2 linked regions of the Caenorhabditis elegans genome follow. The protein of the gene in region 2 interacts with the protein of the main gene of each other region in a pairwise test. Each region holds a gene or a part of one and is shown on either strand. Other genes may lie near its edges.

The links. Proteins that work in one complex are often made in the same cells at the same time.
Region 1: the proteins of klp-3 (region 2) and ZK105.1 interact in a two-hybrid assay, tested with the Caenorhabditis elegans proteins (one large-scale study listed by BioGRID).

The regions. Positions count from the first base shown.
Region 1 is NC_003283.11:7,710,405-7,716,990, reverse strand, and holds ZK105.1 (T20D4.11-like domain-containing protein), read right to left. Parts: upstream 3,001-6,586; 5' UTR 2,992-3,000; coding exon 2,854-2,991; intron 2,813-2,853; coding exon 2,438-2,812; intron 2,379-2,437; coding exon 2,331-2,378; 3' UTR 2,293-2,330; downstream 1-2,292. Other genes in the region: ZK105.5 (T20D4.11-like domain-containing protein), read left to right, coding at 261-572; ZK105.12 (T20D4.11-like domain-containing protein), read left to right, coding at 1,048-1,200, 1,251-1,574, 1,678-2,019; ZK105.13 (T20D4.11-like domain-containing protein), read left to right, coding at 3,850-4,005, 4,050-4,358, 4,411-4,752.
Region 2 is NC_003280.10:7,837,354-7,846,153, forward strand, and holds klp-3 (Kinesin-like protein klp-3), read left to right. Parts: upstream 1-4,999; 5' UTR 5,000-5,063; coding exon 5,064-5,120; intron 5,121-5,296; coding exon 5,297-5,435; intron 5,436-5,920; coding exon 5,921-6,128; intron 6,129-6,262; coding exon 6,263-6,588; intron 6,589-6,680; coding exon 6,681-6,967; intron 6,968-7,015; coding exon 7,016-7,146; intron 7,147-7,193; coding exon 7,194-7,335; intron 7,336-7,378; coding exon 7,379-7,481; intron 7,482-7,531; coding exon 7,532-7,729; intron 7,730-7,777; coding exon 7,778-7,878; intron 7,879-7,925; coding exon 7,926-8,030; 3' UTR 8,031-8,300; downstream 8,301-8,800. Other genes in the region: Acetylcholine receptor subunit alpha-type acr-7, read right to left, coding at 8,311-8,430.

The DNA.
Region 1 (6,586 bases), on a different chromosome or scaffold from region 2:
TAATATTTTTGGCCGAAACTTGAGACAGCAACTGGAGCCAAATTCCGCGTTCTACATCCTTCCGCATTACTGGTATCATGAATTTTAAAGCTTCTAAGAAGCTTTGCTGAAGTGAATAAACTTGTAAAGTTCCGTTGATTGTTGAAATATCTTTCAGTAGGCGCGAACAAAACCAAATGACCAGATATTTGAAATTTGTACCGAATAAGTACCAAATAAGAAAAGAGTACTAAGTTATATTTTCAAGGAGTTTTTTTCAGGTTTGCATGGCTCCATCTTGCTACGCGTTTGAATCCGAACGACAAATTGTAGCTACTGCATGCAAATCTATCGAGATGCAAAACACTGGCTTCATGTTCTGCTTGAAGAAAATTGGCCGTGAAAAACCCGATTTATCGAACTATAAATGTATTGGGAATTATGATTTCTCGATGACAACGTCGGAAATGTTCACAACAAAAAAATGGTGCACCAAGTGGATTATGAGAAAAATTTGTGGAAATCGGGCAGTGACCAATTTCCAAAAATATGCCGCAATCACTGTGAAAGCTCTTGAACTATCAGATGATTAAAATATTTTTGCCCCTATAAATGATTAATTTTGAAAAAAATGTTTCACTAAAATTTGTTTCCAATTGAAAAATTGTCTAAAGGATAGACACTATAAATTGAGCATTGGACTTTATAACGAGGATTCCAGCTAACGCATTTACATTTCAAACTCAAAAAGAAACCTATACGACAATTGTCTACTTTCATTGTAGACTGCAGAATACATACGTGACACATTGAACTAGTGATCGAAATGTCGACTGAGATCGTAAATCGACTAGAATTACATTTCCATTCATGCGGATTTGTTGGTTGAACACGCCGACCTATGGTTTAAATTTTGATTCCATTTGCACTGAAAATTTTCTGAACTTTTCTCAAATAGGTTGAAAAATCATTTTTTCTTTGTTTAAGCCATATCCAAATTTTAATTTATATTTTTGGCCCTGCTTTTGCTTTGAAGGCAGTCGAGATTTACTACGTTCCAGTGGGTCAATGATTAAATTACCATGGACTCTCTTCTTCATTATTGGGACCGCAACATGCTCGTTTAACCAAGTTGATGAATCCTATGCGTGTATAAGAGAGTTTTGTTTTCTTACACAAATGAATGTTGATAACTGCACTAAAAACCATGACTTTATGTCGGTTAGTTTCAAATTAAGCTTAAAAGAGTTACATAAAGAACTAAGTTTCAGAGCGATCCGGCTTTACAGCAAATTGCATTTAAAGAAGGAAAACAATGTTTTATTTATGGAATTAGTTCAGACTATACAAAATATACATGCACAAGAACGATAATTGATCATATCACACTCAATTATGACATCTATATGGAGAGCATAGTAGCAACACCAACAAGTGAAACAAGTTGCAAGGATCCATATTACGCATTTGAATCTTGCCGATGTAGGCAAAGCTATGACATAACTGAAAATTTGGTTAACAAATATAAATGGGCAGACAAGAAAATGTCAATTTATAAGCAGGAGGAGGTGATGAATCAATGCAAAGATTTCAAGGTAAAAGTCGCTTCAAAATTTTAATTAAATATAGGTTTAGTTTTTCGCTGCTTGCGATATTTAAATTTTCTGCAAATAACCGCCCAACTTCCCAAATTTCCAGAAGTGTGCTAACGAATGCTTCTCACAGTATCCAGATATAGCAAGGATTTCTGCCGGATGTGACATTGTGGAATTAAAGTACTCGCCATTCATGAGTTGCCTGACAAAGTTACGCAATCGCGAGTTCAAGCTGCCGCACTACAATTGCACGGATTCCAATTTTCGAAGCAGAGATATAGAAGTACTTATCAATATGTTCACAGAGGATATGTACTGTACCAAGTGGATTATGAGGAAACATTGTGATGAAAGTGCGGTAATAGATTTCCGAAAATATGCATCATTTCTTGCAAGCAATCTTAAAGGAACTCTTGTACTCTTCTCCGGCTATAATGCACTATGATTCGGAAATCTGTTCTTTGCCAATGAATTGTATCAAATAAAGTGAAGTAAACTTCGTCATGTTCAAAAACTTTTAAAGCTGAATTTGTGAATGTTGTGAAACATAATTTTAAGTTTTGTATTCAAACATCCAATGGAAGCATAAAATGCAAAAAGTTTTATAGGTCCAATTAGAATTCATAGGCATTTCTTAAATTTTTGCAATATTAGTCAAGTTTTTTGTGAAAAATCTTGCGCATTATCGGTATCGGAAAATTGGGAATCGGGAAAAATTAAAATCAAAAAGTTTATTTTATTCAACTCGCAAGATTATTAATATCTTCTGAAATCACATTTCTTGGCGAATGGATTGATGACTTTCTGAAAATAAACGTTTTTTTTTTCGTTTTTTTTTGATAAAGCAGTTTATATTCAATCACCTCGCGGAACGATCTCCATTCTTTTTTCCCGCATGTTTTCACAATGTCCTTCTTCATACAATCTTTCCGTTTGAAAATTTTCTCACAAATTTCGTCGTTCATGTCAGGAATTCCAATCGACATCGGTTCCCAGTTTTTGAAACACTTTGAACCGTTGTCATTTAATTTTTCGTTGCACTCAGCAAAATCAACGTGGACGTACGCAACGAATTCACAATAGTTTTCAACTGATTTGAGCATATATTCCTTATTTTTGTCGCATCGGATATTGGAGAAACACGTGTGAAGAGAATTACAAGCACTCACAAAATTCTTCATATTACTTTGGTTAGCCATATCGTGCTCTTGAACTTTTTCTTGAATGTTGATGAGACGCTAAACGTGAAATTCGTGAAGAGTTTTAGAAAAAATCTCACCGAAAGACATTTAGCTGCTTGAAATCCATCTTCAACAGTACATCGGAAGTATCTTGATCCAGCAGTTGCTACGCTTGCACCATGAGCTACCCCTAAAAGCACAGACCCAATGAGGGCAACATTGAAAAGATTTATCATTTTCTGAAACACAAATCTTATTAATAAATGAAAACGAGAAAAACCTAAGACTGAAAAGTCCCAATGTGATGTCTTATTTATAAGCGTCGCAAAAGATGCAATTGAATCTGGCGGCAACTGTTGCAGTTTCTCGAGAAACTAAAAAAAATGTACGTGAATGTTATTCGGGAATTTTTTTTTTGGATATTTAATGAGATCTGATCTTTGCAACATTCCTCTGCATGACTCATTCTGTTAATATGTTGTGTTGTAACTTTCGACCCCGATAAATCTCGAGATTGCGGAAAAACGAAAGAAACAGAACCTGTGAGATATCTTTTAAGAAAAGAGTCAAATAAGTTTTTTTAAATTTAATGTTTCATAACGTTTTGAACAAGTTTCCAATATATGCTGAAATTGTAAAAAAATCCAATTGATTTGTAGTTAGAAATTCTCAAAAAATTAAACATTTCTTCGGAATTTTCTCACACATTTTTCTGGCAGTTCAAAATATTCAAATGTAATATTTTCAGTCAATGGATGAACAAATTTGGTTACATTTTATCCATCCATTGTCCAAGGAACACTTTCGATTCAAGTGGATTTTGTTACGCACAGCGAGAAGTTTATTTGATTCTTTGATATTTAGAGTGACTCACTGGGTATTGTAGTAAATAATAGAAATAGTGGGATTAACTGTGTGTTGGTTTGATTCTTTGATGTACTATATAAGCATGGTAATGTCTAATGGGGAAACATGTTTAATAATTTTTACATGTTTAATAATCGGTTTGATAATTTTTCACATTAATTTTTTCTTTTTGCAGTCTAAAAAATAACTATATCCTTTTCAGAGTTTCCAGTACTCTAATTTTCACAATGAATTTGTTTCGTGAGTTTTTGATTGTTCTCCTCTTCAATATGGCAACACCTTATTCCTGGCATAACCAAGACTCGTATTACTGTATCCGATCATTTTGCACTGTTGCACTGGGAGATACACGTGACTGTCAGAAGAACATTTCATTTCTTTCGGTTTGATTGCAAACTTCATTTTTGCTAAATCTCTGTGGTTTTAGAGCGATCCGAAAACCCAACAAAAAGCATTTACAACCGGGAAGACATGTTTTTTCGACACAATAAAGTCGATTTGTGACAAACCGATTATTGAAAACATTTCGAAAAATTATGACAAGTATCTTGAAACTATCACTAAAAAACCAGAAAATGTCTCCGATTGTTTTGATCCTCATTATCTTTTCGCACAGTGTAGATGGAGACAATCTGGAAGAGATGCTTATCTTCTGCTTAAGAATTATAAAAACTCTACCAAGAAGTTCGAAGCAAAAGATGTGGCAAACATAAGCAAAGTGTGCCAAGGTTTTAAGGTGAGATAAATTTGAGACCAAACATTAAACCCTTAACCAGTACCTGTTCCAGAATTCTACTTACAGTTGTTCACCTCACGATTCGAGCACGCGGATGGTAGAAGATGAGTGTGATGTCATCGACTTAAAACAGACACCGTTTATTGCTTGCTTGTCAAAGATACGTGCAAACAAAGAAGCTCTGCCAAAATACAAATGTGTGAATTTTGATTTTCAAACCAAAAAAGTGTCTACATTAATGCAAATGTTTACAACCAAAAAATGGTGTAACAAATGGATTATGAAGAAGCATTGTGGTAAATCTTCTGTAGCCGATTTTAAGAAGCATGCAGCATTGTTTGTGAAAACTCTTAATAGCACATTGAGTTATTTTACTGGTTATAACCCTATTTAATCATAAAATAAAGTTGTGCATTGTTTGCTAATTTGAAAATCACCTGAAACTCTGTCCCAACTTTTTCTTATTTTCAATGTTTGAAAACTTTCAAACTCGATATATTTGTAAAAAATTCAAATCAGATTAGAATTTTTTCAAGGGAATACTAATTCATGAGTGTGATATTTTATATTTTTTGAATAATATTGAACTTAAGTTTGAACAAACTTTTGTATTGAAATTTTAAGGCTTGCAAAACTTTTTTGAGGTATTGAAACAAACTGCAGAGAATCATTCGTTATTTGATCATAGTTGTAGTTGAAAACGTAAACAACTGGATTAAAGATTTTTGTGTCAAATAGATTTTTCCTCAATCACGTACACACAACAAAATACTATTCCATCTCGTAAATAAAACACAGTACCCGTAAAGTTCAGTTCTAGTTTAAGATATTTATTACCAGCTTCCCGTGTTTAAAGCTTTAAAGTATCTTATGCATTTTCCAATACTTATTCCGATTATAATTTCCGAGAAATAATTTTAACTATAGCTAAAACCGCAAGAAAGAATGTATGCGGCCCGCAGAATTACTAATGATTCCTCATTGTGGTCACCACTTACTTGTTACAAAAAATTCAATTCAACCCACAAGATTCTGTATCCTGTTATTATATCAAGCTGGCTAGAATAAGTGATGCGCGGTAATCGAAAATATTCAGCAATACAATTTAAGAAACAATCCTACATTTTTAGATTGCTGAAATTTTTTAAAGGGGGAGTAGAGTTTGTGGGGAAATATATGTTTCTGACTCTAATTTTGCCCCTGATGCCGAATATCGATGTGAAAAAATTCAAAAAAATTTCCCTGATTTTATATTAATTTTTAAAATCCGAAAATTCATTGGATGCCACTATGTGAGTTTTCAAACGCTGAATTTTCCCGCCAGAGACGCCCCGCCTACGAAACCGTGCCGCAAGTGTGGGTTTACGAGGTGAATATTTTCCTTCTATTTTTATTTGATTTTATACCGATTTTCGTCGATTTTTCTCATTTTTTCGCCGTTTTATATTGAAATTTTTGTTATTTCTCTTAAATTATGCCTTTCTATTGATGAAATACACAAAATTTCATGAAAAATTCCATTTTCAGCACAAATTCGACGGGAAACGAGGAAAATCGCGGAGACACGACGATTTTTTGGAAAGTGAGTACTTCTTATAGAAAATATTATTTAAAAAACAATTGAAAAGTAAGAATCGCTAAATAATTAAGCCTAAAACATCCTAAAAATCATCAGTATGTCGATTTATTCGGCAAATATCTTACTATCGTAATAAATTTAATTAAACTTCCTATTTTAATCCTAGTGCTTATCAATAGTCTATTTACAAATCTCAATAACGAAAGTTCTCCACATTAATACAAACATTTAACATTTCAGTTATCCGGAACACGTTGATTCGTCACGCTCCCGAGGACAATCTTCGATTTTTGTAGTTTTTTTTCCCAAAAATGTTTTTTTTGTAAAGTTTATTGAATATAAACAGTCTTATAATAAATTTACTTGTTTTGTCTAAAAAAACAAAAGCATTACACACGAATAAGTAATAGATTTATTGTCCACGGTTGCCTCCACCTTGTTTCCCGTCGAATTTGTGCTGAAAATGGAGTTTTCATGAAATTTTGTGTATTTCATCAATAGAAAGGCATAATTTAAGAGAAATAACAAACATTTCAATATAAAACAGCGAAAAAATGAGAAAAATCGACGAAAATCGGTATAAAATCAAATAAAAATAGAAGGAAAATATTCACCTCGTAAACCCACACTTGCGGCACGGTTTCGTAGG
Region 2 (8,800 bases):
ATTCAGGTGCATAGAAGCCCATTAGATTTCTTATCCAGAACACAACTCGGGCTTCAGGGGGTACCTTTTTCACGTTCTTCGGTCGTCTCAACTGAGCTCCAGTCAGGCTCCTATAACATTCCTGAAAGTGTTATGTGAGACCATCAATAAGTGAAGTTTGAGTTTTCAGGTGTTCATAACACACGACTATCTCTCATTCATTTTAAAGCTTACTTGTATTTAAAAATAGAATTACTTCTCAGTCAAGAGCGAGTCACGGCAACTCGGTCCAAAACCATTTCTAATTAGTAAACTCTCAAAAACCACAACTAATTAGCTTAAAATCATTGCTAATTAGCAAAAATAAGCTAATTTACAATGGTTTTAAGCTATTTAGTTGTGGTTTTTGAGAGTTTACTAATTAGAAATGGTTTTGGACCGAGTTGCCGTGACTCGCTCTTGACTGAGTTTACTGCTCTAATATTCTTTGACCTTGATCTTAGAGATCGAAAACACGAGAAAGGTGTACGTCCTGAAGACAAAGATTGCACCTCCCGATGATTGACAACTCTATTTGTGATTTGGAGAAACTGACTGGAAAATGGGTTAGTTGTTTGTGGGAAAGTCGATGGTAAATAAAATAGTTAGATGCTTCGGCACTATAATTTTCAAGGTATTCCAAAAAAAACTTTTCCGTACCAATTTTATAAAATACAATAGTTAATTTTTCAGACGTGTTGTCTAGAATTATAATCACACTACGTTGCTAATTTATTAAAACTGCTGCAAATACTTTAAATCCGGAATTTTTTTGAAATTATATCTTTGGAAGTTTGAATTAATAGAACAGTAAAGAGCAATTTTTCTACAGTGATATTTTGATGATATGAGGAAACTTTTAAGGTGTCTTGTTTTTTTTCGGGAATTCGGGAATTTATCCATTTGTAGGCATTCAAAGTAGATATCCAGCAGAGAATGACCAGTCTGCGTATCCATGACAACTGAACCAGAAACATGTTCCATGTGTGAAAGGACGTCGTCTTCGAAGCGGAAGGGTCACTTCTAAATTCATTTTGCAAAGTGGATGAATGTGGATAAGTGCTTCCATTTTATTCCACTTAAAATGATTTAGTTTTCAAAAAATGAAATTCATCTACATATTAAGTCATTAACCGAATTGAATAAATGTAATCAGTACGTACTTATTCATCTCTCATATGCACTTTATTTTTTCCAAATAAATATTTTTAAAGAAATTGAGCATTGGTCACCCATCGCAATGATTCTGGCAAATATTTCAATAAAAAACTCAAATTTCTCGCCTTCTCTCTCATTATTCGTTTTCGTACCCGTAGTATCTCATTCAAAATTCATCGTTTTTCGTTTTCAAAACGTAAAACCGCTACCCTAGCTAATTCATCTCATTTTACTCCTCCCTATCGGCTGGCTCCTTCTGCTTTGTTGTTGTTTACTGCATCTCTTACTCTCTATGTTTCTCTCTTTCTCTAAATCTCTTCAAAGTCCTGTACTCTCTAATGGGCTCGCGGAAGAGCCCCCGCAAGCCAAATATGGAACAGAAAGTGAGAAATGGAAGAAATTCAGAAAGAGACAGCAAGAAGAAGTGAGTCAATTTGAAACACACCCACATCCTTTCTTTTTGCATTTTTTTTCTTTTGCGAAAATTTGCTTTTTAGTAGGGCAATGTGTGTCACTTTTCATTAAAATATCCATCTGTCATTTTCTCTCCTATTTTGTCATTTTTAAGATATTGATATGCCATCGTACATCATTGAAGCTTTGATATTTCTGTGATTTTTCAATGCAATTTTATTTGATCGATTATCAATAAATTGAAGCATATTATTTATTTGCAAATGATACTCAAAAAGATAACTTCATGCATGAGATAAACCACACCTAACTTTTTATCACTTGAACTAGTTATCCGATCGGATAAACTTATCATATCGTGAGTATATAAAGCATTCTATTATAAACACATTTTACACATTTTATTTGTTTTAGATATTTTGTATGTTTTCTTATCAAGCTATAATTTTGCTTTCACTTTTAAAAATGAAATGTACATTTTTAAAAAGTATCTCTCTTTTAAATTACTGCCAAAATGGAAGCTCTGTTTTTTTTTACATTTTAAACATAAATATTGTTGGACTTACTAAATCTTATGACGGCATTTTCAGCCATGTAATGAGTTTCCAAAAACTGATTGAAGTAGCTAATGTTCTCAGTTTCCAGGAAATTACAATATTCAGTAACTTAGTTCAGTAACTTAGTTTTTTTTCTAAAAAATCTATATTTTTAGTTTGAAAAAATCTACACAGAAGACCTGACCAATAATTTGCCGGCCACCAACTAGTAGGAAAGGTTCTTCGCAACGCCTGTTTATTTATATTATGCGTGTGCCCCTCTCCCTCTCCCTCAACCTCATACTTCACTTCTCTAATCCTCTATGAATTTATTTCTCCAGGCGGTACATATACTCATATCCTTTCTCCTTTCTGTTCATCCTTTCTGTTCATCCGATGCCTCTCTCCTTTTTTCCGATTCTCCCTGATCATCGTTTGGTGAGGTCGCCACCCTCACCGTTATTATGTACAAGTTGTATGAACATGCCCGGTTTGGGAGGTGATGGTAATCCATCCGTTTCACGGAAACTCACTTTCATTTTGTACTTTCTGTAGTTTTTCGTTGTTGTCTCTGTATTAAGCTGATGACTTTGGAAATTCAAAAAAAACTAGGGACTCAGTTTGGAGTGCATTTCAATTTGAAAAACGTCGATTTTAAGTTCTTTCATCGTTTTTCCCTATATTAGCTTTGCATCCCATTACCAAATTTTAACAAGTCATATTTTTGTTACCATTTGTTTTTTTAAGTGTCAACTAATAAAGTATGTATAATTTCTTTCTTTATAGTTTTGTTTTTAATTATTTATTGATATATCTTCGAAATAAAAATAACCTTTTAAAATGAAGTGAAAGTGTGAACTACTAATCAAAAATGAGGTATGTGTCTAGATTTCAAGAGCACGAAAGATATTGGTGAAGCAATTTTTAAAAATTATTCTAGTTCAATACCAACATTTTTCTTGATGTTCCACATTTCGAACTCTTTCCCTATCTCTCTCTCTCTCCTTCTGCGCTTAAATTCTCCAAATTCTCATGTTCTGTAATTAGCGGTCTTGTCGTGGTCATCACAATTACACGGAAAACTATTTGTTTGTGTTATGTAATGTGTATGTTCTCGCCATAAAACAAGAAATGAAACCTGAAAAACGAGCAGAAACAATTGGCTTACTGCCTATTACGTGTGTGTGTGCCCGTTCCGCGTCCCTCTCATTTCCGCCCAACTCCGCCTACTTTCGTCTCTTTTCGATCACTTTTCCGCATCATTTTGATCACTTTTACAAACACATTCATGCCCGTAGTCCACCACCATCATCGCTTAACTCTTGAAATTTCTGATTGGTCATTGAATTTTGTCTTGGAACTTCCATCATTGAACACCAATCCAATTTAGACTTTTCCTTGTATTTATATGCCTATCGCCTGAATTTCTCTGATCTAGATGCTACCCAAAACAGACTTTTTCCCATTTCGTGTCACTCCTTTTTTGTGGGTCACAACTAATAAATCATGTTGCTCGTCGGTTTCTCGGAGCACACTCCATCCTTTTCCTTCTCATCAATTCAATGTGAATCGACATGCTTCTTCTTTTTTCTTCAGATTTCTTCACTACCGTCGTCACTTTTCGTTTTTTTTTCTTTTTCAACCACTTGAAAATGTGAAAATGTGCACTAGAAGTTTATGAGCTCTTGTAACCGAACACAGGCTCGTTTGTGAAAATGTGAAATGGAATGATGTTGGAAGAAAGAAAAGAACAAATCATGAGCTCCGGGTGATGGAATTCAAACATTTTTCCACAAATCTTATTGGCTTTAGTCAGAATTCTTCGTTCGTTATTCTGTAGAGTGACCCGAGTCAGACAAGCTTAATGAAATCATCAATATTCATTATAAACAAATTGTTTTAATTTATTTAAAGATCATTCTTTATATTATCAGAAAACAAGCTCTGAGTTTTTAATAACCATTTATTCAAACCTCCAAATATTCAATAAATTGGGCTTAATTTCTGTTTCAAAATGTTTTTTAATCAACCAATATATTCTCATCAGTTGTTCTATGAAAATTCTATACATTTACAAGAATTTTGGAGCGATGGAATAAACTAGGTTATAGCAAGTTGATGATACCTTTTCCACTATTTGAAACTCGACCGTTCTGTGAATTTTCTATAAATACAAAATTAACCTCATTCATGAAAGTGCTTGACGGCAAACAAAACAGTACCGAGATCAGATCACAAATAATTTTCTCTTCCTTTTTGTTCAATGTTCTGCCATCAGTCTACATTGTATTCAATTTCATGTTTGATTTGTGCGCCTGTTTCGCTACAAGCTCTTTCTCTGTGCCCTTTCAACTTTTCATCCTCCTCATTCCTTCTTCAATTTTTATTAGTTTACCTTCTCTCACTTTTTTATGACGTGGAATCACTGTATTTGCAGAGATACTTCTTCACCTTTTTCTCCATATTCGACCAGTTCTTTCACTTCTTCTCGGTTTTTTCTTTTCTTCCCTTTTTCCGCTAATAATACCTGACCAACAATTCATTTTCGGCTTGGTCTTGTATAGAAGACCACTTGAGATACTTTTGAATGCCATTCAGTTGCTATATTTTACTTTTTTTTGTTTTTTTCCTGTTGTTTTAGTTGCTAACTAAAAGATTATCCTTTTTGATCTGGCTACGATATAGTAGACAGAAAGAGAAAGTAAAAAATCGAACGTTGTTGACATTTTGTTCACTTTTTATTTCCTTTTTCAATTTTACATACTCTTAAATATGTTGACTATCCTCTATGTTTCTAAATGAACACAAAAATTTTTGTCTCCGTTTTTTGCGTTGTTTTCCTCAACCGCTGCACCCTAGAATTACTGTTTTCCAGAAAAAATAAACGATCGACACACATAAACACAGGAGTCTCTCACTCCATTTTTGACTTTAAAAATGGATTCGCATGTCGGCGAAGTCGATATTTTCCAACAATGCAAGTATATTCATGAGGTTTGTTCTAATTTCAGTTTGTTTTTGGTTTAACTAGTGTCACTAGTTGCACAAAGTTTGAGAGAATATTTTAAGATTTTTTTTTTCTGAAATTGATTGAACCATTTTTCACTGAGTTTATTAAAAAATTGTGTACCAGAATTCTAATTCACATTCCAATTATTGTTCAATTTCAGGTGGAACTCGTAAATATGAAGTTGCAAATGCGAATTCTGGAGACACACATTGAGACAAAAGACCGACTTCTGAGAAATTTAGAAGATATTATAGACGAACAAGAGTCACGAATTGCAAATATGGAAGATTTTATTCAAGGTACGCACTGTCGTGTGTAGTGAATTTTTGTGAAGTTTTGCATGATTAAAACCCCGTATTACTTATCCGTAATCTTAGACACTTACTTGATATATTGTCATGAGTACCGTGTTTTTTAATCCCAATTTTTTGATCGTCGTGTGATTTGGCTATCTTTAGCTCAAAAGTGTTATCTTTTAATACGCATTTTTGTTTTTTCTTAAAGTAATTGTGTTGTGGTGGTCGGATTGGCATGATTTTATAGTGTTTAATCTTTATTATTTTCTACTTGGTTTTTTGGTTGACAGTGCCTTTTTTCAATTTCACATATTCTACCAAAATCATTTCAATCCGGCCGATACTGATAATATTTTTCTAACATCATTACATGTTCACTTTAATTTCGCAAGTCCAAACAAAACTTACAACAGCTTATTTCTAAACAATAATCTAGCAAACGGCTAATTGGAATGATCAGGTTATTAAATGTTGAAATTGAATTGCAGGCCGTGCCACGTCATACACAAATCGGTCAAATATGCTGAAAGGAATTTCAGTTCTTTCACTGGATTTCGGAAATCTTTCGGAAGAAAATCTACGATTGAAAAATGCGCTGAGCCAAATGCAAAAAGTGGCAAGAGTGAATGAGTTATTGGAAACTGATGAAGATTATGAAAGTGATATGACAAGCAATGAGGATCGATTTGCTTTGAGGTAACCATTTTATTGTAATGTGATTGTCTTGTGAAAATAGTTTGAACACTTGAATTTTTTGAAAAGTAGGTCAAAAATGTAGTGTAATTTATTTTCCGTTTGCAAGCCTTTGCATGTTTTCCTGTGTATTCCAGCCGTGATTCTTCATGTTCGGTTCCCAGATCAGTGAGCCCCCAACCAACGGGTGACGTCATAAAGCCATATCCTCAAATGGTTCAATCAATGAGAGAAGAAGGGCATTGGAAGAAACTTCAGAGATGTGCAGAAGAGCTGAAAACTGAAAAAGATGAATTGAAGAGACTAGCATTGGATACAAAAGATGCATTCAATGTATGTATGGCTGAAATGAGAATGATGCTCACTTCAAAGACAACTGATTTCTTCCGAGTTCTCATTGAAAGATACAAAGCAGAAATGGAAAAACGAAAGCAATTACACAATCAATTGGTTGAGTTGAATGGTAAGTTCTAAATTGATTGAAATATTCCAAGAAATCGGAATGATTGATCTTTATAACTACTTTCCAAAAAACTAAAATTTTCAATTTTTAAGGTAACATTCGTGTATTCTACCGTATCCGTCCACAACTTGCATCAGAAACTGACAATCAAAAACCAGTTGTCGTGATAGATGAAATGGATAACGGAGTTGTCCACGTGTCAAACACAACGGGAACTCGGAAAACTAGTGCTGGAGCTGACAAGGTTATTCCAACTGATTTCTCGCAAGATCAGATATTTAATGAAGTTTCTCCGATTATTACATCTTGCATTGATGGTTATAATGTATGCATATTTGCGTATGGACACACCGGAAGTGGAAAAACATACACTATGGATGTAAGTTTAATTAAATTTTCAATAGAACTTTAAATTTCCAATTTTCAGGGTCCCGTCACAATGCCTGGAATCAATCAAAGAGCTATTATGCAATTGTTCGAAACTGCGAAGGAGAGAACGGGCGATATAAAATATGATATTAAAGTTGCCATGATGGAGATATACAATGAAAAAATACGGTAAATTGACTTTTTTTTTAACCTAAAATTGCAAATTCATTTTTCAGTGATCTCTTGAACACTTCCAACACAAATTTGGCAATTCGTCAAACTGAAGAAGGGAGAAGCTCAATTCCAGGACTTGAGGAAGTTTCAGTGAACTCTGCAGAAGAAGTCACGGAAACGCTTGCTAGAGGAAGAAAGAATAAGGTGAATTTGAAACAACTTCATATTCTAAATTTTCAATTTTCAGGCTGTAGCTGCTACTGAAGCCAATATTGAATCCAGTCGTTCTCATGTTATTGTTAGAGTTTTAGTATCGGCCACAAATCTTATAACAAAAGCAACTACAGTTGGTATGTCATTTTTCAAGTGAAAAAATATTTTGAATATATGATTTATTCAGGTCGTCTGAATTTGGTAGATCTTGCTGGATCAGAGAGAGTTTCTCAAACGAATGCAACCGGTCAACTGCTAAAAGAAGCTCAAGCTATCAATAAATCTCTATCTGAACTTGGAAATGTTGTACTTGCTCTTCGCCAGAATCAAAAACATATTCCATTCAGAAATTGTCAATTGACAAGAATTCTTGAAGATAGCTTGAGTGAGTTTCATAATATATTGGGATTTCCCTTTTAAATATTATTTTCAGATGGAGACAGTAAAACTCTGGTCATTGTGCATTTATCACCAGATGCAAAGAGTTTGAATGAATCTATTAGCAGTGTTAATTTTGCTGAAAAAATCGGACAGGTATGCATTTATGCCTTATCACATTTTACAAAAATTAAATGTTTCAGGTATTCACAAAAAGTGGAACGATGAAAAGAGAACCAACACGTAGAAGTATGACTGGAATAAGCAGTGGTCAACGAAGAGAAATCCCAGCATCTCCAAGAAAATGAACCTCATAAAATATCAAATATTTCATCTCTACTTCTCCAATAATCATCTTGTCAAATCCCTGAAATACCCGCTTACTCTTTCCATTCTAGTCCATGAAAAATTTCAAAAATTCAAAATGGGTTCCAACAATTTTTTTTTTCTAAAACTGCTGACTGACCAAAAAACTTGAAATACGGTTTACTTTTTCAAATCTAAATATATCCCCCATTTTTATTATTTGCAAATTTGTTTATGTGTGAGCTTTGAAACAATAAAAATATTCATTTAATATTTTTTAGTTCAATCCAATATTTTGATAGGTGGAATTGCAACAAAAATGAAGCAACAAATTATAAAAACAATTGTGAAGATTATAAGGCAGAATCGGTCAACTGCTTGAGCTGCAAACTTCCATTCGTCCTAAAATTTGAAATAAACATTGTTTTTTTATTAGGCCTGCATGTAGGACTATTTTTTATTTGCTGGTAAGTGTGACTATAAGAGACTGGAATGGTAATAGAGGAAATAAAGTATTGAACTATAAGGTTGATCTAACTCTAAAAAGAAATGTTAATAATGTTGTCAATTGTATAAAATAACTTAAACCCTATTTTGGGGCATATATGACAATATAATACATGCATTACATTTGACCGAGTACGGTTGGCTCTCTCTATCTATCTCGTTGTCCAGACCAGACTCATTTTTTCCGCGAAGTACTCTATGCCTCTTCCCTCTCTAAAAGAGACTCAGACAGTCCAAACAGAAGGACATTCTCTTCCACGGCCAC